Nothobranchius furzeri: one gene and its partners. The protein of the gene in region 7 purifies or fractionates together with the protein of the main gene of each other region. This does not show direct contact. Links are inferred from orthologs where the notes say so. Each region holds a gene or a part of one and is shown on either strand. Other genes may lie near its edges.

Region 1 (4,074 bases), on a different chromosome or scaffold from region 7:
CAACTTTGATGGAAGAAGAAAGTTTGTATCGAGCTTTTCTAGATAAAAACTACAAGGCACTTCACAAGAAAATAAAATAAATGAAAAAAAATTAAATATATATTGTTATATAATAAAAATGGGAGAAATGGGAAACAGTTCAGAAAAATGTGAATAAAAAAGAAAATGTCATCACAGGAACATGAAAAAGAACTGACAAACACCAGCATGAAGAGAAACTAGTGAAGATTCAGCAGAAGGTGACATTAAAACCAGCCTGGACAGGTGAGTTTTCAGCTGCTTTTTAAAGGAGACCACTGAGTCCACTGATCTCAGGGGGAGAGAGGTCCAGAGTCTGGGGGCCGCAGCAGCAAATGATCTGTCACCTTTGGTCTTTAGCCTGGTGCTGCACAACCAGTAGGCTTTGATCACTGGACCTCAGGGACCTGCTGGGGGTGTAGGGACTAAGAAGATCACCAATGTAAGATGGTGCTTGTCCATGTAAGGCCCTATAGACCAGAACCAGGATCTTGAAATGAACCCTGAAGTTGACTGGCAGCCAGTGAAGCTGGAGGAGAAGCAGGGAGATGGGGGTGTGTTTGGAGGACTTGGTCAGAAGCCGAGCACAGGCATTCTGAACCACCTGTAGACGGTTCAGGGAGGTTCTGCTCAGACACGTGAAAAGAGAGTTACAGTAGTCTAAGCGTGAGGAGATGAAGGTGTGGAGAAGTCTCAAGTTCAGAATGGGACTCAGCTTAGCAATGTTCCTGAGATGGAAGAAGAAGAGCGAAAAAGAGAACTGGCATGAGAATCCAGGGTGAGAACTGGGTCAAAGGTCATGCCAAGATTCCTGACAGAGAGTTTGGTGTGAGAAGCAAGCTGACCAAGAGAGTCTCTGACTTTGGGAACCAGCTTGTTTGGGGCACAGATGAGGATCTCAGTCTTATCTTCATTCAGCTGTAGAAAGCTCCCAGCCATCCAGGTTTTGATAGAGTCTAAGCAGGTGTGTAACAGCTGCAGCTTAGACATCTCATGGGGCTTAAAGGAGATGTACAGTTGGATGTCATCTGCGTAAAGATGGTAGGAGACTCCTTTGAAGGAGCTCAGGATGTGCTGAAAAAGAAGCAGACAGAGGATAATTGGAAGGAGGAAATCATAAAAGCAGCAGGAATGAAGGAATGCAAGAGACTGTTTACTGGTTTTGCTGGGAGCACTGGTGTTTATAAAGTCCAACATCTGCTGGGAGGATGGACCTAGGATGCAGCAGTTTGGCACTGAAGGAGCTTCCAGCTCCACACCAGCTTCATGCATGGGATGGAGGACACTGTCCAACAGTGATGTTATTTTCACTAGAGTCCTCTCTCCCACCCCCAGCTGGGTCAAGGGGACATGCTAGGACAGAACTTCTTAATCAGCTTCCCGTCTCTCAGTAGCCCCAAACCACACAAAGATGGTGGATGGGAGGGGGGCTCGGGCCCTTTAAGCGGACAGGATCCAGCCTGTGGTGGGCGGACGGTAGCAGCCAGCTGTGCTCCACCCGCTCCGCTCGGCCTCCAGCCGCAGCTGCTTCATGCTCCAGCTGTTATAGCCGCGCGTCCGTGGGGGGTGAGTCCGAGGCAGAGTGACTTGAGGGAGGACCGAGAACCGTCAAGTCTGCGGGTCATACGGACGATCGCATTACCGCTGCTGCAGATCTGCGCCTCTGAGGCGCATTTTTACGCAGCAGTCCAGCTGGACTGAGACAAATCCCGACCTCTTCCTCCCGCTGGGAGCTTTCCTTTCCTACCAGGAGTCTTTTCCATGGAATCCACGAACGGCTGACGCCAGCGCAGCTGTGCATAAAACCCGCTAGAGACGCAACTGGCAGGAAAAGGCGCAATAGGACAGCTGCAGCAAAATGTCTATCCCTGTAAGTATGTCAGACGCATGTTGGTGTTCCCAGTCGTTGCTCCGGTGTTCCATGTTAATGGTTGTAACAGCCTGGGCCCGGGCCGCCCGGTTCCATAGCACTACAGTAATTAAGATGTTATCATGTGAGCCCACACATATTACTGTAACACGGTGTGTGATATGTGCTGGTGGTGACATGTTACTCTTTGTCTTTGGCCTACATGAAGCTCCAGCGGGTTTAAAGGAGCAGCCCGCCCCTTCCGGGAGGCTGTTTGCATGAAGGCCAATGTCAGCCAGGGTCTGGTGGCTTCATTCCAGCAGACCTGGCCAGTCAGCTCAGCAGAGCAGCTGATAGCACTGTGTGTGTGTGTGCAGGTGTGCGTGCGTGTGTGTGTGTTTGTGTGTGTGTGCAGGTGTGCGTGTGTGTGGAATAAGGCATTTGCTCGAGCTTGTTGAGTTATTTTCCATCAAATTCCAAAGGATCTGTTTCACAAACACTGCCTAAGGATCTCTCTCTCCCTCTCTCTCTCTCTCTCTCTCTCTCTCTCCTCTCTAACTGAACTGATGCTTCATTTTGTTGGGGACGACAAAATCCTACTGGCACTTTAATATAAAGTTATTAGACGATCTTACCTTTTGCAACATTTTTAAGCTGTTCTGGGAGGCTTTGCGGTCCAAAAGAATGATTTTAAGACCATCAGTGAATGGTGGGAACAAGGGAAGGCACAAATTAGAGTTTTCTGTCAACATTACACGCGGGGGTCTACAAACCAAATAAGAAAGACTATGGCAGATCTAGAGAAGGACATCAGGGTGCTAGACTACTACTCAACAACAGCACACCTTAGACCAAAAAAAGACAGCAGCTTGGGCATTTCCTGCAAGAGAGGGCCAAAGGCGCCTTGATCTGGGCTCGTCTCACCACAATACAGGACATGGATGCTCTGACATCCTTCTTTTTTAACCTGGAAAAGACTTCAAACCAGAAAAAACAAATGGCTGGCCTGCGTCTGTCAGATGGACAGTTATCCACAGACCCAGTGGAGATGAGGAAGCATGCAGTAGAATTCTATACCAGCCTATTTAAGGCCGCCCCATGTGATGTGAACTGTGCCAGAGAGCTGTTGCAGGGGCTTCCTTCCTTGACCACAGTAGACCAGGGAATCTTAAATGCAGACATAACCATGGAGGAACTTACAACGGCAGTCTCCCAGATGGCTGCAGGTAAATCTGCGGGGATGAACAGCTTACCCGCTGACTTCTACAAATTCTTCTGGAGCAGTATTGGACAGGACCTGATGGATGTTTTTAGAGACTCACTTCAGACAGGAGCACTTCCTGCATCGTGTAGTTGGGGCGTTCTGTCCCTGCTGCCGAAAAAAGGGGACTTAACCCAACTAAAAACCTGGGGACCAGTTTCCTTGTTGTGTTCAGACTATAAGATTTTTTCTAAGTTCCTATCTAATAGACTTCGGGGATTCATCAGAGGTCTAATCCCAGACGATCAGTCCTTCTGTATACCAGGAAAGTCATTAATGGACAATTTATTTTTAATGAGAGATGTGTTTGATGTTTGTAAAATGTATGATGTAAACGCAGGTATCATTTCTATTGATCAGGAAAAGGCGTTTGATAGGGTTGATCATGAGATCCTGTTCTCTACGCTACAGGCCTTTGGTGTTGGGGGGTCCTTCCTGGAAGGGATTAAGATGCTGTCATGTCATGTCAGCTGTATGGTGAAGGTAGCGGGGGGCCTGAGCCAACCCACCAGTTCTAAGAGGAATCAGACAGGTTGTCCCATCTCAGGACAACTGTATATTTTAGCCATTGAACAGCTGCTGTGTCGGCTGAGGAACAGGCTGAAAGGTGTACACCTACCTTTACCTGACTCCAGTCCTCCCTTAGTTGTGTCTGCTTATGCAGATGATGTGAATGTTTTCATCCATGATCAGCAGGATGTACAAGAACTCAGATCTAGTTTACGTTTACATGAGAAAGCATCCTCAGCTAAGGTTAACTGGGACAAGAGTGAGGCATGTGTAGTGGGGGGTGGGACCTTGGTGATGTCCCGCCTCTGCCAGAAGGGTTGAGGTGGGGAACGGGAGGTATTAAAACACTAGGCATGTACTTGGGTAGGGAAAGGTTTCAGAAACAGAACTGGGAGAAGGTGCTGGAGAAGGTGGAGGCGCGGTTGTCTAAATGGAA
Region 2 (3,185 bases), on a different chromosome or scaffold from region 7:
CATTTCACCAAATGCACTCAAGTCAACTTTCTACTGGTGTGATTTGTTCCAAAACATGGTTTGAGGGGAAAAAGACTTTAATTAAAAATGGTTTTATATTTATATTCTGCACACTGATGTCTGAATAATTCCTCGTTTCAAAGACAAATTCTCAATCGTTTACAGAGAAAACACATGCAGCTTTAGGACGCTCCATCATTCCTCTTGATGTTCAGCAATATAAACAAACAACTGTCATTTTAGAAATACATGTAATAAATTACACAACTTTTTTTTTGTCCCTGGTAAAAAGTTTGTGAATATCACCAAAAGATATTTAGCTTGTTTTAACATTTACCACCTTATTCTTGTGGGTTTTCAGCAAAGCTGACTTTAATGATCACCAGATTACTTAAATTTTGTTTGTTTCCCATTTCATATCTGCTTTTTAAATGTGATTGTATTTGTTTTATACACACCCTTACACAGCTCTGGATAAACATCGTAGTGACACTCTCTCACTCTCTCTCTCTCTCTCTCTCTCTCTCTCTCTCTCTCTCTCTCTCTCTCTCTCTCTCTCTCTCTCTCTCTCTCTCTCTCTCTCTCTCTCTCTCTCTCTCTCTCTCTCTCTCTCTCTCTCTCTCTCTCTCTCTCTCTCCAGGCTTGTGGCATCATTGTTGAGATGATTCGCTCCAAAAAGATGGCAGGAAGGGCGGTTTTACTGGCAGGCCCACCCGGAACAGGAAAGGTTAGTGTGCAGCGTTTTAAAGTAGAGGTTGACCGATATTGGCTTTTCTATTGCCAATAGGTAAATGTCACAGTTAGCCGATGGCTGATTTGTGCTGCCGATATTTTGGACCGACTTTCATAGCCGATATCTAGACGTTTTCCACCTCATGTTTTTGCTAAATGTTACAAAAACAACAGCTGATGCACAAAACACTGAGTTTAACCAGCTGTTAAATCTTAATTTTGTGCACTGCTCGGTGTTCAAATCAGACATCTTACTAAAATAATCTAACAAATTAGTAAACTGACCAAGTCTTAAATATTAAAAACTGGTAGATTAGAAATCCTAGTTGAAAATATTTTTTGAGCATTTATTAGGAGATGTAATTCAGCAATCATGTAAACAAACAGTTAAATAAAATTGTGCAGCAGCACCAGGCTGCCCGGGGATGTGCCTGACTTTAACTCGGCTTTACTAAGGAGGTGTAACAGCCATCAGTGTGAATGTGTGTGTGAAGTGAATGGATGATTGATGCAAGTGCGGGTCATTTATCATTTATAAAAAAAATTGTAAATATCGTCCTGATAAATCGGTCTAACCGTAGTTTAAACAGTTTAGAGTTACCGTCTGAAACTGCACCAAGCATGGCTTTTGTTGTTATTGTTATTATGGTTATTGTGACTTCTGACCCCTGCAGACTGCCCTCGCTCTTGCTGTGGCTCAGGAGTTGGGAAACAAAGTGCCTTTCTGCCCCATGGTGGGCAGTGAGGTCTACTCCACTGAGATTAAAAAGACAGAAGTACTGATGGAGAATTTCAGGAGAGCAATCGGTGAGTGGAATCGGATTTATGAACTTAGTTATGCAGTTCATGGAGGAAATGATCAGACTTTTCGGACTTTTTCAGTATTGGGTTGAACTTCTGTTTTGATTTGAAGCAAAGGCAACTAGCTAAACATTAGCTGTGCTTGAGGTCAGAAACAAAGTTTCCTTGCAGCTTTAAGGAACTGAGTGAAAATGAAAAGAGAATGACTTGTTCTGTTGTGTTGCAAGGTGGCAGGTAGTGTCCAATTCATAGGGAGGGATTTATGTGGGAGACATGATGAAGGGAAGGGATTTGTCTGACTGCTGATAGTACCTGTCGAGTGGAGAGGAAATGGAGCTTAACTAGAAGCAGAGGTGGTCATCAGCACCCTTGCTCCACCCGTACAACAGCATCTGCAGCTTTTCATCACCTTGTCACTAACGGCTCTGCTGCACGGTCTGCTTTAAAAACCGCCCTCTGACCCTCAGCACAGAGGAGCAGGCACCTGTGCTGCTTACACGCCACTCTGTGTGGGAGTGTGATCATGTTACACTGAGTGATGCACTGGCATCACACACACACACACACGCACGCACGTTCTTTCCTGTAATAAAATCCATTATTTGGTCGTCTGAAAGATGTGAAGGCTTAGCCGATGCAGGAGCATAAAGACCTGATTGAATTCTCATTTTGAAGCGTGTCTGGGTCCGACTGTACCGCCGCTCTCCTTTAGGGCTGCGCATCAAAGAAACAAAGGAGGTGTATGAAGGCGAGGTGACGGAGCTGACTCCCTGTGAGACGGAGAATCCCATGGGCGGCTACGGGAAAACCATCAGTCACGTCATCATCGGGTTGAAGACGGCCAAAGGCACAAAGCAGCTGAAGGTCAGACTGGGGGTTCAAATCTGCATCTGTAGTTCTTTCATCACCGAGAGTCAAATAACCTGTTGCTGCTGACAGTTTTGTGTACAAACAGTGAGATGATGATTAGTAATGTAGATAAAGATGACTTAGAAGTGGTTTCCAGGTTTCTGGGTTAAAGATGAAAAATCCGTTTTCATTAGGCTGCATACTTGAGTTCTGTTATTACATTCTTATAGAAGTCCGATTTAATCAGTTTTGAACAAAATCATTAAATGTTGATGATGCTTTTGTGTTTGTTCAGCTGGATCCCAGCATTTATGAGAGTCTTCAGAAAGAGCGGGTGGAGGTGGGAGACGTCATCTACATCGAAGCTAACAGTGGAGCTGTTAAGGTAAATGGCATAACCATGGAAAACCGGTGCACTAAAACACACACACACACACACACACATACACACGTGCTAGTGACAAACTGGGTCACATCAACACATTAATGATTTATTTTTCTTTTTGATCATCTGCATTTTATTATAATTATTAGGTAAAAATTGTAAATGGCCTTTATTTAAATAGCACCTTCTATAGTTCTACAACCGCCCCGAGGTGCACAACAACACAATCAGCCATTCATCCATTCACACACACTTTCACACGCTGGTGATGAGCTATAATGTAGCCACAGCTGCCCTGAGGCACGTAAATCCTGTGTCTAGAAGGTTTTCTGCTTCAGAGTATAAATCTAGATCTTTATTACAGAAACATTTATGTCGGTAAAGTTTACTCATCTGATTCTAAGCAAATGTTTCACCA
Region 3 (2,640 bases), on a different chromosome or scaffold from region 7:
AACAACTATTTTGTTGAATATTGCTGCAGAAAAAAGACCAAACATGGCCCTAGCTTGTCAGAATTGTTACATCAGGCACAAAAACAGGTAATGAAGCAATTTTATTAAAAATTTTATATAAATAATTATTCTAATTTTTTGCACCCTTGAGGAAAACAACTATGAGAACACACCCCTGTCTTCTACTCGTCACTGAAATGCATACTCGAGGCCTCTAGCACCTTTTAAGCTATAAAGTATACAAATATACTGTTATAAAAAAAAAACTAAAAAACGTGCAAGACTCAGATAAAAGACTCTGTTTTCAATACTTAAGGCAAAAACAATTGTCATATATACCAATATACATATATCTGAGATTATTATTTCTATCAAAATTGTGTTTTATTTGTCTAGAAGGTTCTGGTAAACACGTGTTATGGTGACTTGCACATACTAGAGATAAAAAGTGCAGAAAGACCACATCAAAGTCATTGCAATGCCTCTAGTGACTAGGAAAGGGAACTTTCTTCCTCTGGTAGTTTGTTTCTGATCACCTGTTGACCTCTAGGTGTTTTCCACTGCAGTGTTGGAATGCCAAACTGAAGATCACAAATAAAAGTGGGTATAAAAGTGCAAAATACGCCAGTGTGTGTTTATTTCACCTTCACCCTGAAACGGCACCTATAGCTGGGACACCTTCCTGGGCAGAGGCCTCGGTCTGGGAACTCGAGGGTCGGCGGTTCCGTCCAGCTTCATGCTGCCTGTGCGGAGCTGGTGAGGTTTGGGTGGCAGGGCTGGCGGGTCCGTTTGAGGGGGGATGGAGAGACTATGTGGCAGCGGCACAGGTCTGCGGGGGTTGTTTCTTTCGTAGACACTGTAGGGAGGTGGGGTCTTGTTCTCCCTGCGGATCGGCTCATCCGAGCTGCTGGAGACAGAGTTTGGTAAGGTGGTAGGTGGGGGTAGTGGGTGCGGTGTGTGGTCTCCAATGGGCAGCTCAGTGCCTGAAGCCTCTGACACACTGCAGCGACTGAGGGAGGAGATGCCACTGCTATAGCTGCCAGACAGAGCGGGGGAGTTGGAGACCAGGCTGGCCGACTGGCACTCAGTTGGCGACGGGGTGAAAGGTGGTACTGCAGTCTGTGGAGAGACAAAACATAACAGGAGTTATGTTTCCTTTTATCTATAGTGCATTTTTCCAGATGACATGTTAAATATATGTTTGGATCAGGAACTTCCCTGTATCAAAGACAAAGTAACCCGTCTGCTACCCACCCCTGGTTTATTTTGCACAAGATTAAAATCTTGACATTTAATACAGTAAATAACTTCAACTCCCAAAGACAACCTTCTCCCAAGTTTCATTTCTGCCTCCAGGGATGAGTAAGTGCAGCTCTGTCAGAGTGCCTACATGTATTTTCTGCAGGTTCTTTGTTGCCCTGGGGTTTGCAGGCTGGTAATGGGCCCCTGGTTGCACAAACTGGTGTGTGTGTGTGTGTGTGTGTGTGTGTGTGTGTGTGTGTGTGTGTGTGTGTGTGTGTGTGTGTGTGTGTGTGTGTGTGTGTGTGTGTGTGTGTGTGTGTGTGTGTGTGTGTGTATGTTCATGCACCAGATAATGGGACCCCACTGGAGATCCACAGAGGATTCCATCGTTTGCTGTGCAGTGATGGGCAGCTTGGTGCTTCGCTCCAGGCCTCATCTTTTTCCACAACAACACACACACACACACACACGCATGCATGTGCACACACACACACACACACACACAAATGTGACAACATGCACACACTCCATCACACACAAATCTGACTGACAGAGCATGCTGTGTGCCAAGCTGTCACTCACACTTTGGTATCTCCTTTCCCATTTTACAAGCAGACCACACACACTGTCACACACACACACACACACGCACAACCTGGTAGCTGTCACACACGAGGAGACATCACACCTGCAGCAAAGCTGGAAGCTTAGCACTGTTTATTTGCAAAATACCCACAAAGATCAAGCAGAAGAGGAGCCTAGATAAGGTTTTCCTCTCATTAAGAGCTCTCTTGGAGCTTACTTAACCTTTCCTAAACCTCTTCTGCTGGCTGGTATTAACTAATAAGAGGCTCATTAACGATAAATCAGAGCTTGGAGTCAAACTGAGAATAATCAGTTTATTTGTAGATGAGAGAATGAAACATAAATAAAAAAATACCCTATGAGGTCAGAGATATTAAACACCCGTTTGAACAGCTTGGTTGATGGAAACTGAAGTCAATGTTCAGAGCGGCATTTATCAAAGAGAGAAGAAAAACAAACAGTTTTTGTAGATGATATTTACAGAAAAAATACCAGCAAAGAAGCTCAAGGTCCTCTGGTATATTAGATTCTCAGTTATCAGGTGACAACCTCCTAGAGGCTAGAGTATATTTAGCTAAAACAACGAATGCCCTGCAGCCAGTCCCGTTTTCTGGAGGCCCTTCTGGGACCACTGACATGACAAGTACTAAATCAGCAACAGTGGAGCTGTTAGCAGCTTCAGTGAGCATTAACGCAAAGCCTCTCCTGACTCAAAGTAGGATAATAACCTCCGATTCGGTGAGTCGTTGGGGAAGAATATAGGAACGAAAGGAAAAATAAAAACCAACAGAAGAGACCTTTTGAGGAGATCTG
Region 4 (3,973 bases), on a different chromosome or scaffold from region 7:
CCCCAGTCATGGACCTCACCACACGTCACTGGTTCTGTCCTTAGGAATCACGGCAGTCGTACAAAATACTGGGACGTCCCGATAAACCTTTTCACTTCCAATACCGTACCGATATTGCAGCCTTCAATACTGACCGATACCAAGATCAATCTGATAAGGTATCGGCACAAATCATCCATACTTCTACCTGTTTTGTTGTGTGGAACGTACAAAAGGTTTGATCGAGTGACATCACTCAAACAGAGATCCAGCAACAGCAGCTATGAAAAAAGCAACCATGTTATTAACCATTGGTTGCAGACATGTGAACCTTAAACATGACAATGACACGCAGCGGTTCTGTTCCACCACGGGAGACCTGTGCATGACAAGTGTAGCACTGAGCCAAACTGTCTTTTTAGACTTTAACAGGAAATACACTTTTGATGCAGTCCGATATAATCTGATACAGTACTTGTGGGACGTTATTTCCGATATCGATAGTGGAACGGGACTTCCCTACAAAATACTGGAGGTAGTACTTTACGTTGTGGCACTGTTGCTTCAGCTAACTCAGGTAAAACCGCAGATTTTGTGGTCAAACTTATATCAGCCATGATTCCATATAGTTCTACGGAACATGTTCATTGAGATATAGATTACAGTTGTACTTTTAAAGAGGGTGTACTCATTTACACTGAACACCGTGACTTGACCTGAAGCTTTAGCAGCATTCAGGTTGTCACGATTCAGTGTTGGTAGGACCCAAAATGCAGTACCCAGGATGAAACAAGGCAGAAGTTGGTTCAAAGTAAAAATCCTTTTATTTGCAGGATAAAGGAAACAGAAATAAATCTAAGGCAGCGTGCCAAAATCCAAAAAGTCCTGGAGCACAGGCAAGGACGTAATTTTCACTTTAGAAGTGTGTGTGTGTGTGGGGGGGGGGGGGGGTATCTTTACAATATGTTCTAAGGGGAAACAGGCTTCAACACAAACGGTTGCTTTCTGCTTGGTCCTAGAGCTCAACCAGTGTCAATTTAATATAGCGTAATATTGTTTTTGGATGGTAAAAAGTGCAGGGGTCAAAACTTGACTTTGGAAAAAGTGGGGGGGACATGTCCCCCCTGTCCCCCCCCAAAATTACGTCCATGAGCACAGGACACCCAAAGCTCTCTTAGAGAACCAAAAACCTAGAGACCAAAAGCTCAACCAAGAGCACGAAGACCTGGAGACTATAACCTCACACTGAGCACGGGCAAATGCTGACAACATACAAACAATGGACCGACACCAAACAGAGACAAGACAGGGCTTAAATACACAGGGAGAACAATTAAGGAAACAGGAAACAGGTGTGTGTGGAGTGAGGGCTGGAGGGAAGGCAGGTGACACCAATTATCTAAATGGGGGAAACAGAACCAATGGAGGGCAGATAACCTCAAACCCAAAACTAAACCTAAAACTGAGGGAAGGACTCACACAAACACATACACACAAACACTGAGCACAGGAATGGCACAGGACCTGGGAGGAATTGACTTTAAAGCCTACAACATAAGACACCTAACTGACACATGACAAGGACAAGGACACATGAGGGCACCAAGAGACACAAAAGGGAATCCGGAGGGGATGGAGAAAAGCCAGGAGGCACATGAAGGAAGGGGCAGACGCAGACCATGACACAGGTGTTTTTAGGGTTCGGGTTCGAGCCTTAATGGTTTAGGCGAGGCAGCTGTACACAGAGGTAATTCCATGTGCTTTCCAGCAGCAACAATAACAAGAACATTAAAGCGGTGTGACAGAAAATGTCATTAAAGAACACGTTAAAGTGAAAGGGTGAGCAGTTACACTGCAGAACATTTAGAACAGCAAAGATAGAACCATGCAGATGGGTTCCACCGCGAAAAGACAGACACAGCTGGAGCGAAATCATCTTCCACAAACTGGCAACACAAGTTCTTCTGGTGCGCGCTGACCCGGGACAACACGCCGCTTTTATTTACGACTGCTGTTGTGTTGTTCTTGTCCACTTAGGAATAACTGTTGTTGTCACAGCTGCTGCTGAGCTCTACCACCATGCAGGACCTTCTGCCTGGTGTGCCCCTCCCTAGGAGAGCCCCTGGTCAGGCCTGAACCCCTCTGCGGTGCTCGGGCCCCCCCGGGGGCCCCGTCCCACACAGGCTCCTCTCTGATCAGCTGCTCTGGCTAAACTTCTCATCTGAACCGTTCCTGGGTCTTTAGACCGTGTTCTAGAGCAGCAGATGGAGCTGCTGAAGTTCCACTGTCCTCACACACCGCAGAACCAACACTCTCATCATGTGTGTGACACACACACCTCTATGATCTATCAGACACACTCCGCCGCTGCGCAGACCAGACCAGAACCAGCAGAACCCACCGTGACTTGTGGCGGAGACTCTCTCCTCAGAGGAACGGAAGGAAGCTCTGAACAACTTTTCGGAGCTTCTCCGCGCGGCTCCTCTCGGCTTCTCGAACAATTCCAGATCCCGGATTTTTACAACCGTCGTCGTGGAGCGGAGAACCGAAGCCGAACTCCGGGAGAGCCAGAGGTGTTCCGAACCGAACCGTCTCCCCTCTGCGTGGCTGGCGCGGCGCGGGAGCGAGCTCCACGGCATAACAGGGCGGCCAGGAAGGCTCGTGAACGCGCGTCACCTAAAAGACGTTAAACTGACTCGGATGAGATTTCGAGACTTACAAGCGCTCACCTTTAACCGTTACCTGGACAAATGTACAAGTCAGCACACAAAGTGCTCCCGGTTCATGTGTAGTTACACCACACTGGGAGGCCTTCTATGTAAAAATACTGGATTACACCAACCTGCTGGAATGGCCTCAGTTGAATGAAATAGCTTTTCCCAGACTCCACACGCTTCCAGGACCGTGCGATTATTATTTCCTCTAACGGATCTTGCAGGTGCTTCTAATTCTAACAAGGGCTTGAGGTTTGCTGGTGTTTGAAAGAGTTTGCATCTTCAGTGTTTGAACCCCTAACTGAAACCAGCACTATGACGTGTAGGCTTAAAGGCCAGGTTAACAGAGAAACCAGTTTTATTTGTGAAAATGATCACTCACTCTTGAGTGTTTCATGCAGGCTGAACATGAAAATAGTCTCCTACACCTATCTCCTGCTTAAGCTTCTGATGGAAAACAGACGGTGAAACTCGAGGATTAGACAAGCTTGACAGATCTACGTCACACTGTCACTAACATTCATGGACTCACCCATCTGGACTCACGACGGGGAAGGCTGTTGGTGGCTTAGCGTCCAGGAAACAGCAGAGAACGTCTGGGCTAGTAGAAGCTACCTGTTAGCATTAGCTCCACCACACAGTAGAACCCCTCCAGTGTTATTTGTGGAGATAAAACATCAACGTTGTAGAGCAAACAAAGTCAGTGGTGGAGTCACGTTGTTGTTAGCCAATTAGAGGAGAGATGTCTGAATATCAGGAAACAAGACTCTAAACCCTGATTTCTGCCACTTTCTCCAGCTGACTTCTATGTTCTCAAACAGAAACATCTGAGCTTTTTCCCCACAGAGCAACTCACGGGGCATTCATTCCTATCAGAAACCACTGCAAAAGCATTAAAATATGACTGATGTTGATCTGTAATGATCACATCGCTAAATGAAGCCACTGGAAAACTGAAAATCCAGATTCAAAGTGATTTTTGTAAAGGTGTAAAAACTTTTTTAAAGTGACTCATGAATATATTATTTCACAAACCTTCACACTTCTGTACATTTCCTTTTCCTGGTTATTCCACCAGGAAAATAAAGACCATCCTTGGTGATTTTCAGACAGGAAAAGATGTACATGACAGTTTGATGCTGAGGGGTGAACCAACCTGAAACGTTAGACATGATGTGAGTTAGGTAAAGATTTTAACAGTAATGTGTTGAGAAAGGCCTTTTAAGGGCCTCCGTTTGAAGAAATAATTAATAGATTGATGAGCTAAAGGCTAGTATGAG
Region 5 (3,298 bases), on a different chromosome or scaffold from region 7:
ACCAACAGAACCCGACAGTTTAAACCCCCACCCATCCCCCGGTGGGCTCCGGCTCCGAGGAAGGTTTTCCAAGGAGGAAACCGTTAGAATTCCAGACAAGAGCACCACCTGTGTGGTTTATGTACTTGCTGCTTACTCTGATGGTGTGGCTAAGTTAGCCGCCAACATGGCTAACATGAGGTCATACGTGTGACCATACAAAATAAAATATTTTATGGCAGCCCACTTTAAAGCTCCTAAAGATGGATTAGCATAGCACCACCTGACGGATTGGACACTTGTTAGTTAGGATTAGTTTCAACTTTAGAAATGATTTGTGTGGTTTTGCTTCTCAGACAGATGCAGATGTGCACAGCTGGAAGCAAACAGCCAAGATTTGAAAACCAAAAACGGAGGCTCACCAGTTCATGTGATCACTTCTGTTTTAGACAGGCACACACACACACACACACACACACACACACACACACACACACACACACACACACACTTATTCATCAGGTTTAACTACAGCGTGCCACATCATGTTTGGTGCTCGTGAGCATCCGCGCCCCTTAGGTTGAGGACTGATGCGTGAACAGAAGGGGTGAACGTTACCACAAAGAACTGGCAGAGGGTGATGTGGGGGAAGATGTTGTGGGCCTTGTTCTTGCCACAGGAAAGGCGAGACTGCTTCCAGAAGTGTGAGAGCTGCTGGAGCAGAGGTCCGCTGGGTCGCAGGTATAACACATACTCTCTGGGCAGAGGGTCATCCAGGAACGGGTCGTCCAGGTGGGAGAAGAGCCTGGACATTAGGAAAAGACATCAGACAGTGTCCAGCAGGGGGCAGTGATGCTGAGTAACTGCTGGGTTATTTCCTTTAGAACAGCAGTTTGGGTTCCTGCTCGGTTCTAACATGAGAAATTAGTTAATGTGTCTCACCAGTCACAGGCTGCCTGGACATTTTTGCCTCCTGTTGACACTAAAGCTTTTAATCTGAAAAGAAGAAAGAAAGAAAGATGAAATCAGTCACAAAATCAGCAACTTCTGCTCCAGACCTGCTTATTTTTCTGAGTAAACGTCATCTTTCCACATGACTAAAACCAACTGGCCAAACGGAGGAAACACACAATCATCGGTAACTCAGCTTCATTATTCAGAGGTGCACGAATCTTCAGCTCAGAAAACAAAGCTGATTGTCTCGAGCAGGGCCGTGCAGAGACCTTTGACGGGGTGGGTGCTCAAAGTAAAAAAAAGGGGCACTTATAGAGCAAAACTTTTAAACAGATTCACAATCCAACAAGTTAGAAAACAGAAAATGAGACCCTTGGGTTCAAACAACATAATAAAAATATATCAATTAGTGTAATTAATGTTAGTGTTAATGTTAATTAATAAATAATTGTTTTAGTTTATAAATCTGACTTATATCTAGATATGTTACAACCACATTTCTGCCCCTGATCCGAGTCCAAGTTGTTTGATTATCTTCCAATACTGAGTCCTGTTCTGATACCTGGTGGTGATGCAATGAGTTACAAAAGAGGAAAGAAGTCGTCCTTCTGCCATTGTTTTAGCCTTAAAAGTCACTCATTCAGGAAGTAAATTTAACAGTATTCAAGATAATTTATTGCTATTGCACAGGTGTACAACCAAATTGACTTTGCACTTACTAACGACAGCTCTAGTAAGAGGTAGTAAAATAAATGCAAACACAGAGGGTTATCCAGTGTGATCTACAGCTATGTTAGCTGAGATCTTTTTCCTGTCAGTAGAAAATTCTTGATCCCATTCCATGATCTCACTGAACTTACCACTAACCATGAGAGCTCTGCTACCAACCTAACAACACCCTTTACACAAAGGCACCATCATCACATACGTGGCAGGAGTCTCAGATAAACTTAGAAGAATCTTCTCCAAACACAACATCCCGGTAAACTTTAAACCCAACAACACCCCTCACACAGAAAATGGTCCATCCAGAAGACAAAACACCCAAACAGAAGCTCAGTGGCGTCGTTTATGCTGTCCATTGTAGTGAGGACTGTCCAGATCTTTACATTGGGGAAACAAAACAACAATCACACAAGAACATAACCTTTATGAACACAAATGATTTATGGGAGACCTTTCAGTCAGAGTTCAGGGCAGGTCACAGCACTGAATCTGCTCTTTTAATGGTTTTTAATGACACGTTTTTAGCCTGTGACATGGATAACGATGTTGTCCTACTATTGCTGGACTTATCTTTTGATACAGTCGACCACGAAGTCCTTCTGGACCGACTACAGCATTGGGTGGGGATAACTGGGCAGGCCCTCCAATGGATTCGCTCCTACCTTCATGACAGGACATTTAGTGTTCAGATGGGTGAGGTGATGTCAGCCTGCATGAGACTTTGTTGGGGTGTGCCACAGGGCTCTGTCCTTGGTCCTCTCCTATTTGCAGTGTATTTTCTTCCTCTTGGAGTCCTCCTTCGTCGGCATAATGTGAAATTTCATTTTTTTGCTGATGACTGCCAGATCTATCTCCCCCTTCGAAGTGGGGAGGACAGATCTGTTTCTCCTTTACTGGACTGTTTGAAGGACATAAAATGTTGGATGGCTTCTAATTTTTTTGCACCTAAATGAGAGCAAAACGGAAGTCATATTACTTAATCTTGGCAGAAGAAATGGCTCAGGTGCTGATATTGACCTTGGCCCATTGACCCCCTATGAAAAGAAAATAGTCAGTAATTTGGGGATAAAAACTGAGTCCTCACTTAATCTTGACACTCACGTAAATACGGTGGTGAGGTCCTGTTTTTTTATTATCTGAAACAACTATCCAGGATCAGGCCTCTGCTGTCCAGAGCTCATCTGGAGTCTGTGTTGCATGCTTTTGTCCTGCCCCGTCTGGACTACTGTAACGCTCTGTATGCCAGTCTGGGCCAGTGCATGGTTGCACAGCACCAATTTGTAAAGAACTCAAAGGCTAGGTTCCTGACAGGTACTAGATGCCAAGATCACATTACCCCAGTGCTGGATACTCTGCACTGGCTCCCGGTGCAATATCGAGCTACATTTAAAATCTTAACTCTCGTTTATAAGGCCCTCCAGGGCAGTGCCCCCTCTTACATTACTGCACTTTTGCACAGGTATGCTCCATCTCGGTCTCTTCGCTCAGCCTAGCAGGGACGCCTGGTGGTCCCCCGGTCGAAATATCGATCAAGGGGTTATCGTGCATTTTCTGTTTTTGCTCCAACTCTGTGGAATGAATTGCCATTGAGCATTAGGCAGGCGCCGTCCCTTCAAGTCTTTAAGTCTCGTCTAAAGAC
Region 6 (4,122 bases), on a different chromosome or scaffold from region 7:
AATTTGTTGCTTCCCTGTGCAATGCTCTTACCAGACAAAAGTCACGGCCATCTTCTTCCACTGAGGCTCAGCTGTGATGTGACTCACTTCCTAAAAAAGCGAAGAAAACACTCCCATTTATTATCAAAAACAATAAATGGGAGTCTGTGGTGATAAAAGTTATTTTCTGATCCTGTTCGATATGTGTCATGGATTTCACTTATAGTTTGTGGGAATTTTAATGACACATTTTGATGCCAGGAAAGTACTTATTCACAACAGGCAACAAAAGATCCTTTAGGTTTTGTGTGGGAAGATGTACTGCCCGTCCCAACAATTTTACATCATCAAACCAAAGAGAAGAAAAATGGCTTTGAGTTTAGCGAGCTTCACATCCATCTTCCAGGACTAAAGAAGGAGAATTAAACATAAGAAAATCACTATAAATCTGACCATGTGGAAAGTGTCAGAGTCTGCTGTGATATCATAAATGAGACTTCTGATTTGTTGTCTTTTTATTAGAGAATTTTTTTTACAAACAAATACATTTCAAATTGTATGACAGACTGAGTTGAAACGTATAATTATCATTTTAACTGAATTACAGCATATGTGTAATAACATTGTAGCCTCATTCGCTGGAAGGGGACAGTTCATGTCAAATTCTGCATGCTGAATAAATAAATTGATTTGAACCTTTTGCTGATTATATTGTTTTGTTAAAAGGAGATACGTCTGTTCATTTTTCTGAAGTGACAATAATACACATTACATGGATATCTTATTTATTTATTTATTTATTTATTTATTTATTTATTTATTTATTTATTTATTTATTTATTTATTTATTTATTTATTTATTTATTTATTTATTGATTGATTGATTGATTGTTCCCACTATGAATGTTGGATGCCTGTGGCTGATAAACTGAGAAAAACAGGCATAAGTTTTATCCAATCACGCGAGGCCGTTTGGTAGAGCTGCAGCCGTCTCAGCCAATAACATTCTGTCACACGTTCTCTTGCTACCAATCAGAAACAGGTATATCCTGGAAAAGGCGGGACTACATCTCGTCGGTTTTGCCCAGTCCGGATGTTCTCCAGTAGCGAATAACGAGCACTAGTGTGAATGTGGCAATCGAGGTAGACAGGGAGGGGTACAGAGACTGACCGGACCGGGTTTTTTGGTATTTTTTCTTTATTTTGTATTTTCTCGCCGAGCCTCGTACTGACAGTTTATTCCACGCCGCGGTTGTAAACTTGTTCGAGGGGCTGGCTAGCCGGCCGTTGCAGCTTTTCTTTGGGACTAACTGCTGTCGTGAAAACAGTCCAGAAGAAAGAAGGAAAGGCAGAAACAACATGGGGCGATAATAAATAAATGTGCTGTGTTGTGGACCGACGATGACTCTCTGGGAGGACCCGTGAAAGCCTATTTATTTTTATTTATTTCCCCTTCTCCCTCTCCTTTGTCCTCTGCTGTTTTATTTTTAATGTTCTCCTCCCCTTGTTAGTCTGGGAGATATATTTAAACGGAAAAAGGCAGCGTTTTAAGAGGACTGAAAGATGGACCAAGCCGGCATCCTGAGACAGTTTATCCAGGGGGTGAAGACCATGAGTGAAAGAGACGAGAAGAGGGGGGAGGACAACTTTGGCAGCGACTTTATGGTGAGCCTAATTCAGCAGGAGTCTAAAGCTAGACTTCTTAATTTTTCCTGTGTCAAAATATCCACGTTTTCCTCATGTTGACCCTTTATATCCGAGCCCCCTTTCCCGTCTTATGGTTCCCTGTATCCCCCAGGAGGTGAGGCGGGGGCGGCCACACTATGCCCACTTCCTTTTCCTCCCATTTCCAGCCTTTATATGGCGGCCTTGCATTGTCTCCCGAACCGCACAGAAACGCCACCAACTCCTGTCTTCAAATCAAAGAGGCAAACAGCAAAACAAGTCACGTCACCTTAAAGCCATTAGATGTTTTTGTCTGGCATAGCGAAGAGCAGCTTTAGCTAAGGCTAAACTGGGATGTTCTGGTGTTTCCTATTGTGTTATTCTAACAGATCTTAGGTGCACACTAGTTCCTCTACCTCCAAGTTCCTTTGTTGTATAAATTTAAATCTACATCAAAAATACAACTGTACTGGGAACACGTGTTCTGCAGTGATTGATAGACTCACCAGTATTTGCATCTTCACTTTGTAACATAACACATCCTGTAATGTGAAACTACACCATCTAAAATGATAGCTAAGTTTAATTTAAACAGTTATGTGTGATAATCACGCAACTCAGTGCAAATAGTAATACCCAACCACAAAAACTACCACTCCCCTCCTCTACTTCCCTCTCATAATCATCAGCTGCAACTTGTGTCCTGGGCATGCCTGAAATTAAATATCTGAGCCAGTGTTGAGCCCTTTTTTGTAATTGTTTGTTGATGAAGTCATTTCAAAACCACATTTAGTTTGTTTTGTGATGACCACAGACTGCTCTGTAATGGGTCTGCCTCTCACTACATGTCTGGATGTTGCAGTTCTGATCTCCTAATTGGACCTCTCCCACTCCTGGGCTTGTGGCTGAAATAGTCACAACATGAATGACACGTCCATAATAGCTTTTGTGCTCAAGTGGCCACTTTAGTTGGGTGGCTTTGATTACAATGTTTCAAAATGTTATGTTAAGGACAAACATTTAATTCCACGTTTGTGATTTTTAGCAATCTGAAATATTGTAAAAACTGTTTTTCAAATAGTTGAAATACAAACTAACCAATATGTTTTGTTTCCGGGAATTAAATGTTTTAGATTGAGTTGGTTTGGAGTCCCATCCCTGTCAGAGTTCTTTTGCCTACACTTGCAAACAAACACTGCTTACTTCCCTGCTTCATCCAAGCTGCTTGCTGGAGCTTGCAACATTCTTTCTTGGCCTATTTCATAACATTTTGTGCTGGCTCAATAGTGGAACTTTTTCAACTCTAATTCATACTCTCAAAAACATTAACTAGAACTTCATGTCGGGCTAGTTGTGTCCTCACTCCTCAGACGCTAAACTTATCAATTCTATGTAGGAATGCACAATATATCGGCATCAATATCGATATCAGCACTTGTAAGTCATTTTTTAACATATCGGTATCAGCCCGATAAATAAAACCAGGCTGATATTAACAACCAATATTTTTTCCATCTTTCCATTTGTTTATCTTTTTCAGAGGGTGAGGGAGGTCATGTGTATTTGTTTAGTCATGTGACAGTTATTTTAATCATCGCAGAAGTGTAAATGTGTGTGGTGTGTGTACATAATAACGTAAATTCAGCTTTAATAATTTTCATTCTGTACAAAATCTGGTGATTTTAGAAGCATTAATGTCAGTATATTGGTATTGGCAAATATCAGTTATCAGCCATAACAGTGATTCATATCGGATATCAGTATCCGCCCAAATATTTCAAATCAGTGCATCACTAATTCTATGAATAGTTTTAATTTCAGAAAATCAAATTGGATTATCACATAAGGCATTCAGAGATTGGATAAAAGCAGAAGAGCTGCTTTTAAGTTTTATTGTGGTTTATTTATCATGTAAAGCTGTTGTTGCAATTATTTTACATTAACATTCTGAGAGTTGGTAACCTGATTGCATAATCACAACTTGAACACTGTTAGAAAGCACAACTCTGCTGGGGGTACTAGACTATGTAATATATGTATTTTACCAAAGTTGTCCATCCATCTTCCTTATATAACTGTATATTTCTAATTGTATCTGTTTTCTGAACCAAACGTATCCAGAGTTCATGTTTTAATGATTTAATCAATCAATCAAAGCTTTATTTATAAAGTGCCTTCCGCAACCCTGTCAGGAAGCCCAAGGCCCTGAACTTGGTACAGTAGAAGGTAAATATATTGAATAAATCAAAAATAAAAGCAATTCAAATTACACAAAAGGCGAAACATTCTAGTACAGGACAAATGTGTAAAACAATGGATAGAGTGAACCAATGAAAACTGTAAAATAAATTCAACATAAAAGAGGGCCAAAATCAAACATGTTCAGGAAACGCCAAGCGGAGGAGGTGTGTTTTTAGGCGACTCTTGAAGACTGGCAGAGATGGGGACAGCCTAACTGATGGTGGCAGCTCATTCCAG
Region 7 (4,199 bases):
AGTTTATCTGCAAAATCAATCACAGTATAACCAATAACTACAGTAACGTTGCAGAGAGTTTCTTCACAGCAAAAGTTATGGAGGGATACAGATTTTATCAGGCTGTGTGGCCTCGGCTGCCAAAATGTGTGCCCCCCCCCCATCAATAATGCATTTCATCAGGCCACACAGCCTGATAAAATCTGTATCCCTCCATAACTTTTGCTGTGAAGAAGAAATCATCTTCAAAGTTACTGTACTTATTGCTTATATCGTGACTTATTTAGCAAATAAACGATTTCGTGATAACAACGCCAACAAAAACAAAGTGTAAACCGAGAGTAAATTCACCGGAGAGCGACGTCAGGGTAGCTGCAGATTTAAGGGAGCCAAATTTAAGACTTTTTAAGACCTTTTTTAAGGCCACTTTGACCAAATTTAAGCTATTTTAAAAATTAAATTTAAGCGATAATTTCCAGCTCTTGCCTGGAGCCGGTGCTAACCACGTCGCGAACGTGGGATTAGCCATCCAGTTACCATTAAACTTGCCCTTCCCCATGGCGCAAGCTCCCACCAGCTTAACCAGCTAATGTGCTCATCTAAAAATAGCCCCCTTTCACAACCAACTGACTGCGTACGGTTCCGCTTACGGCAACATCGTACACAAAAAATGCTGAACACTAACTAGAGATTCACGAAATTTTTATAGAAATAAAAGAATCTTGTTTATTGGGTCTTTGGTCATTTAAGACCTTTGGAAACTGGATTTAAGGATTATTTGTAATTTTTAAGGACTTTTAAGGCCTTAAATTAGGAAAAGCTAATTTAAGACTTTCTAAGACTTTTTAAGGACCCGCGGATACCCTGTACGTGTTTCCATGGTCACGTCTGGTTTTACAGTATTATAGTATCAAAGTGTTTTTCTATACAAAGTATTCCCAACGGAGCTGGGCTAGTGCCTCCTCCTACTTTGCGCGCTCCCGTGAATGGGGAAACAATTTTTGACGGGGGTAACTACTTTGGCGCAACACCGGCAGCAACTTCGGGGACAAATTTTCAAGTTTAAAAGTAAGTCAGCTAATTTAAAATGTTTTTTTTTTATATCCAAAGAAGTTATCTATGGTTGGTTAGTTGCTTAGTAGTTGCAGCTTCGGTGGCTAGCGGGTAGTAACTCACTTATATTTTTAATTTAATAAACATATACACAATTTAAAAAGTAAAAGACTCGTTAGATATTTATATTGAAACTAATACGTAGAAAATATAACGTTATCTCCCGTGTCATGTGATGCAAGTCTGTTCCATTTAACCGTTTTCTTTGACCAAGGAAGGACAGTGTCCTCGTAAGCAAGGCGCCTTGACACTGAGAACCACCCTGTATGTCTGCAAAGGGAAAAGGCGATGGCACACACATGTAATGGTTTCTGAGGCCAAAACAGAAATTATAATACAACTCTGGTTAAATGCAAAGCCCTCCGAAAAACAGAAATGAGGGGAAAAAAAAAACCCATCAGCACCACTAACCACTTCTACAGCAAGTTTTTCAAATATTTACATTCACAGGAAAATTGTTTATGATTTCTGCTTCATCAGACTGCGCTTTTAACACTTAGGGGGAACATCTATTCATAGCAGTTAGTTAATATTAATGGAGAACATATGGGTTTGGTCCAAGGGTCAGGCCACAATCTGATAATCCCAACAAACCTTTGAGAACAACAACCAGAGATAAGTGGGTTAACGCAGACAGCTCGAAACCTTTTGCTGCAGGGTTGAACTGATAGTCGCCTTATCCAATTAGCTCGTTTGCTAACAGGTGATGGGGACAGAACTGATGAGCTCACACCCACACAGCTCTACCAAATAAGGCCGTTAAACGTGGACAGCTAGCCAGATGCTGGCAGAGGACTAATAATAATAATCATAACAAACAAGCGTGTTGCAATTCTGCAAGACGCATAAAAATACAAGGCATAAGTTAGTGATGGTAGATAGTTTACTAGTTAGTAATAACGGCATTACGTGGGACACTAACGGTGTTATGAAGGAGGTTTTTTGTCACATAACGAGTTGTTGTATCTGAGGAAGTCGAGCCCTGACTGATAAAAGGCTGCTGAACACAAAGGATCACACAAGCACATTAGCGGTGTCATTAAACATCAGGTCATGAAAATGGATGATGAGACGGAGGTGCGACAGAAAAACAGCTGCCAGTTGCCCAAATGTCTCACCTTCGCGTCGTTTCCCAACTTTAAACACAAAACCCAAGCCCGCACGTCGCGTTAGTGGCGATGCCGCCACCAGAACCCGTCTAAAACCGCTTCCCGTGTAAAGGGATCGAATCGGTTCCAGAGAGTAGACTGCGCCCACTGTTCTAGAACGTTAGCACCCCGGCTAACGTTCGGTCAACAATAACTGCGATGCAGTGTGATGATCAAACTTATCGAACGGACTACATTAGATAGAACAGCAGAAGGCGACGTTTAGAGGGGGTTGTAAAAGATTAGTGATGATTAAAGCCCGATAGAAAGCCTCATGATGGGAAACGGGAAAAAGGAAGAAAACACCTTTTTTCTTAGCGCAAGCTGTTGTTGCTAGCTTACAGCTGCTATCGTGAACTTGACTCTGTGAGAAAACACTTTATTGTACACCACATTTATGCGAAACGGTAACGGCGTCTTACCGCTTGCGACGATCGGTTGGGAAGAATCCACCGTAGGGAACAAAACGTTACCGTGTTGTTTAGCTCTCCCTGCTCCCCATAAGAGACAACCAACAGTGTGTAGCGTCGCTCACAGCCCGTCCTAGGAGCCCGAAGCTAGCTGGTAGCAGAGCGTTTATTTCCGCTTCCTTCTGCCGAGCTGGTGCTCTTCAGACCCGAGCTCCTCCCAACAGTCCATGTCAACCCAGCCACCTCTGTTACCGTTTCATCCACAGCCAGGACACTTTTAAACAGACTGGAAAAACGTTGATATGTGATTATAGGGACTTTATCTGGTGACCCGAATCAGTTCAGACTGAAACTTATGGTGTTAAAAGTGAAATTTGTCCAAAACCTAAAAATAAAGTACCTCTCTGCCAGATTAAAAAAACTGCAGTAAGGGATTAGGCAAACAGACGATAATGTTTGATACGCCAGTCTACAACCAACTGAGTGGTTCACTATTTAGCACATCTGCTTTCAATTTTTGTTTTACGGGAGAGATCAAATGCTTTTAAAAGGCTGCCCCCTAGTGGGAAGATACCATCATGACAACAGCACTGGATTGAGCACAGCTGCCTGCTGTCTGTCGCTGGTGTAGCATCGGGCCGCCATATTGGATGGGTCTCCATTCGCCCCGCTACATTAATTTCTACTGAGGAAGATACTTACTCTCAACAAACAAACAAAAAAACCCCACATTTTATCAAGTTTTGTTTCCACAAAATCAGACATATGGTAAGGCATGACCATTAAAACATAAATATAATTAAACAAAAAAAATTACTATATAAAATACCATCAGGTAGGCTAGAAAAGTCAATAGTAACCACATGATCTGTTTACAATTGTCGCTGGTTGTTGCAAATGAAGGCCGCACAAAACCAGGCATAGTTGCCCACTCTGCATTGACTTCAGTTGGGTTTGGAGAGCGAGGAACCTTTCCAATATGGCAACAATGTTTTTACGCCCTCCAGCACCCAATGGGGCGTCTTTTTCAAACTTCTAGAATAAGGCTCTCACACTTTCATGTTTTTATGTTAGTTACAAACGTTAGTGTTTGTTATTATATTTCTGTGGTAAAAGATGATTCAACACGTTTAGATACTGATAGGACGTTTGCCCTGTTTGTTGTATAAAAAATGTGTTCAGTAAAAAAAACCAATGTGGCATCTACAGATTCATGTCTATGGGATTGAAGGTCTAGTGGAAGAGCAACCACCCATGTGGTAGGAAGTGTGAAATGAAAATTCATGTAAAATATTGGAACAAAACATTTAATTGCAATTTAAAGAGATGTTTCTGTCTTTATTAGTCCTCATTTTATTTTTTTTCATATTGTTTTTACGTTGTTCATTCATCATGTGTAGGGCGAAAACTGAGGCAGAGAAAACTGGATCAATGATGAGTAAATAAAATCACATGAGGGGGAAAATCTGATAGAGAAGAAAATAAATCTCCAAATTATAAAAATAGACAATGAACACATTTGTTTTAATTAAATCAAGATCACCATTTA

What was found.
Region 1: the proteins of grb2b (region 7) and bcar1 purify together in Homo sapiens (affinity purification with western blotting; 3 studies listed by BioGRID, with this or other methods). This does not show direct contact. The link is inferred for Nothobranchius furzeri from reciprocal best matches to the Homo sapiens genes GRB2 and BCAR1.
Region 2: the proteins of grb2b (region 7) and ruvbl1 purify together in Homo sapiens (affinity purification with mass spectrometry; 3 studies listed by BioGRID and IntAct, with this or other methods). This does not show direct contact. The link is inferred for Nothobranchius furzeri from reciprocal best matches to the Homo sapiens genes GRB2 and RUVBL1.
Region 3: the proteins of grb2b (region 7) and dock4b purify together in Homo sapiens (co-immunoprecipitation; 4 studies listed by BioGRID and IntAct, counting the BioPlex papers as one, with this or other methods). This does not show direct contact. The link is inferred for Nothobranchius furzeri from reciprocal best matches to the Homo sapiens genes GRB2 and DOCK4.
Region 4: the proteins of grb2b (region 7) and peak1 purify together in Homo sapiens (co-immunoprecipitation; 3 studies listed by BioGRID and IntAct, counting the BioPlex papers as one, with this or other methods). This does not show direct contact. The link is inferred for Nothobranchius furzeri from reciprocal best matches to the Homo sapiens genes GRB2 and PEAK1.
Region 5: the proteins of grb2b (region 7) and ubash3ba purify together in Homo sapiens (tandem affinity purification; 3 studies listed by BioGRID and IntAct, with this or other methods). This does not show direct contact. The link is inferred for Nothobranchius furzeri from reciprocal best matches to the Homo sapiens genes GRB2 and UBASH3B.
Region 6: the proteins of grb2b (region 7) and ptpn12 purify together in Homo sapiens (affinity purification with mass spectrometry; 3 studies listed by BioGRID and IntAct, with this or other methods). This does not show direct contact. The link is inferred for Nothobranchius furzeri from reciprocal best matches to the Homo sapiens genes GRB2 and PTPN12.

What each region holds. Positions count from the first base shown.
Region 1 is NC_091754.1:40,234,318-40,238,391, forward strand, and holds the start of bcar1 (breast cancer anti-estrogen resistance protein 1), read left to right. Parts: upstream 1-1,274; 5' UTR 1,275-1,876; coding exon 1,877-1,888; intron 1,889-4,074. UniProt on the Homo sapiens protein: Docking protein which plays a central coordinating role for tyrosine kinase-based signaling related to cell adhesion. Implicated in induction of cell migration and cell branching. Involved in the BCAR3-mediated inhibition of TGFB signaling.
Region 2 is NC_091743.1:48,433,299-48,436,483, forward strand, and holds part of ruvbl1 (ruvB-like 1), read left to right. Parts: intron 1-640; coding exon 641-727; intron 728-1,406; coding exon 1,407-1,539; intron 1,540-2,245; coding exon 2,246-2,397; intron 2,398-2,677; coding exon 2,678-2,767; intron 2,768-3,185. UniProt on the Homo sapiens protein: Possesses single-stranded DNA-stimulated ATPase and ATP-dependent DNA helicase (3' to 5') activity; hexamerization is thought to be critical for ATP hydrolysis and adjacent subunits in the ring-like structure contribute to the ATPase activity.
Region 3 is NC_091741.1:52,226,587-52,229,226, reverse strand, and holds the end of dock4b (dedicator of cytokinesis protein 4b), read right to left. Parts: coding exon 2,625-2,640; intron 1,120-2,624; coding exon 664-1,119; 3' UTR 501-663; downstream 1-500. UniProt on the Homo sapiens protein: Functions as a guanine nucleotide exchange factor (GEF) that promotes the exchange of GDP to GTP, converting inactive GDP-bound small GTPases into their active GTP-bound form. Involved in regulation of adherens junction between cells.
Region 4 is NC_091754.1:44,457,005-44,460,977, reverse strand, and holds the start of peak1 (inactive tyrosine-protein kinase PEAK1), read right to left. Parts: upstream 2,801-3,973; 5' UTR 2,381-2,800; intron 1-2,380. UniProt on the Homo sapiens protein: Probable catalytically inactive kinase. Scaffolding protein that regulates the cytoskeleton to control cell spreading and migration by modulating focal adhesion dynamics. Acts as a scaffold for mediating EGFR signaling.
Region 5 is NC_091750.1:47,686,099-47,689,396, forward strand, and holds part of ubash3ba (ubiquitin-associated and SH3 domain-containing protein B), read right to left. Parts: intron 976-3,298; coding exon 922-975; intron 785-921; coding exon 598-784; intron 1-597. UniProt on the Homo sapiens protein: Interferes with CBL-mediated down-regulation and degradation of receptor-type tyrosine kinases. Promotes accumulation of activated target receptors, such as T-cell receptors and EGFR, on the cell surface.
Region 6 is NC_091741.1:48,575,403-48,579,524, reverse strand, and holds the start of ptpn12 (tyrosine-protein phosphatase non-receptor type 12), read left to right. Parts: upstream 1-1,322; 5' UTR 1,323-1,542; coding exon 1,543-1,644; intron 1,645-4,122. UniProt on the Homo sapiens protein: Dephosphorylates a range of proteins, and thereby regulates cellular signaling cascades. Dephosphorylates cellular tyrosine kinases, such as ERBB2 and PTK2B/PYK2, and thereby regulates signaling via ERBB2 and PTK2B/PYK2.
Region 7 is NC_091752.1:67,730,130-67,734,328, forward strand, and holds the start of grb2b (growth factor receptor-bound protein 2b), read right to left. Parts: upstream 2,801-4,199; 5' UTR 2,663-2,800; intron 1-2,662. UniProt on the Homo sapiens protein: Non-enzymatic adapter protein that plays a pivotal role in precisely regulated signaling cascades from cell surface receptors to cellular responses, including signaling transduction and gene expression.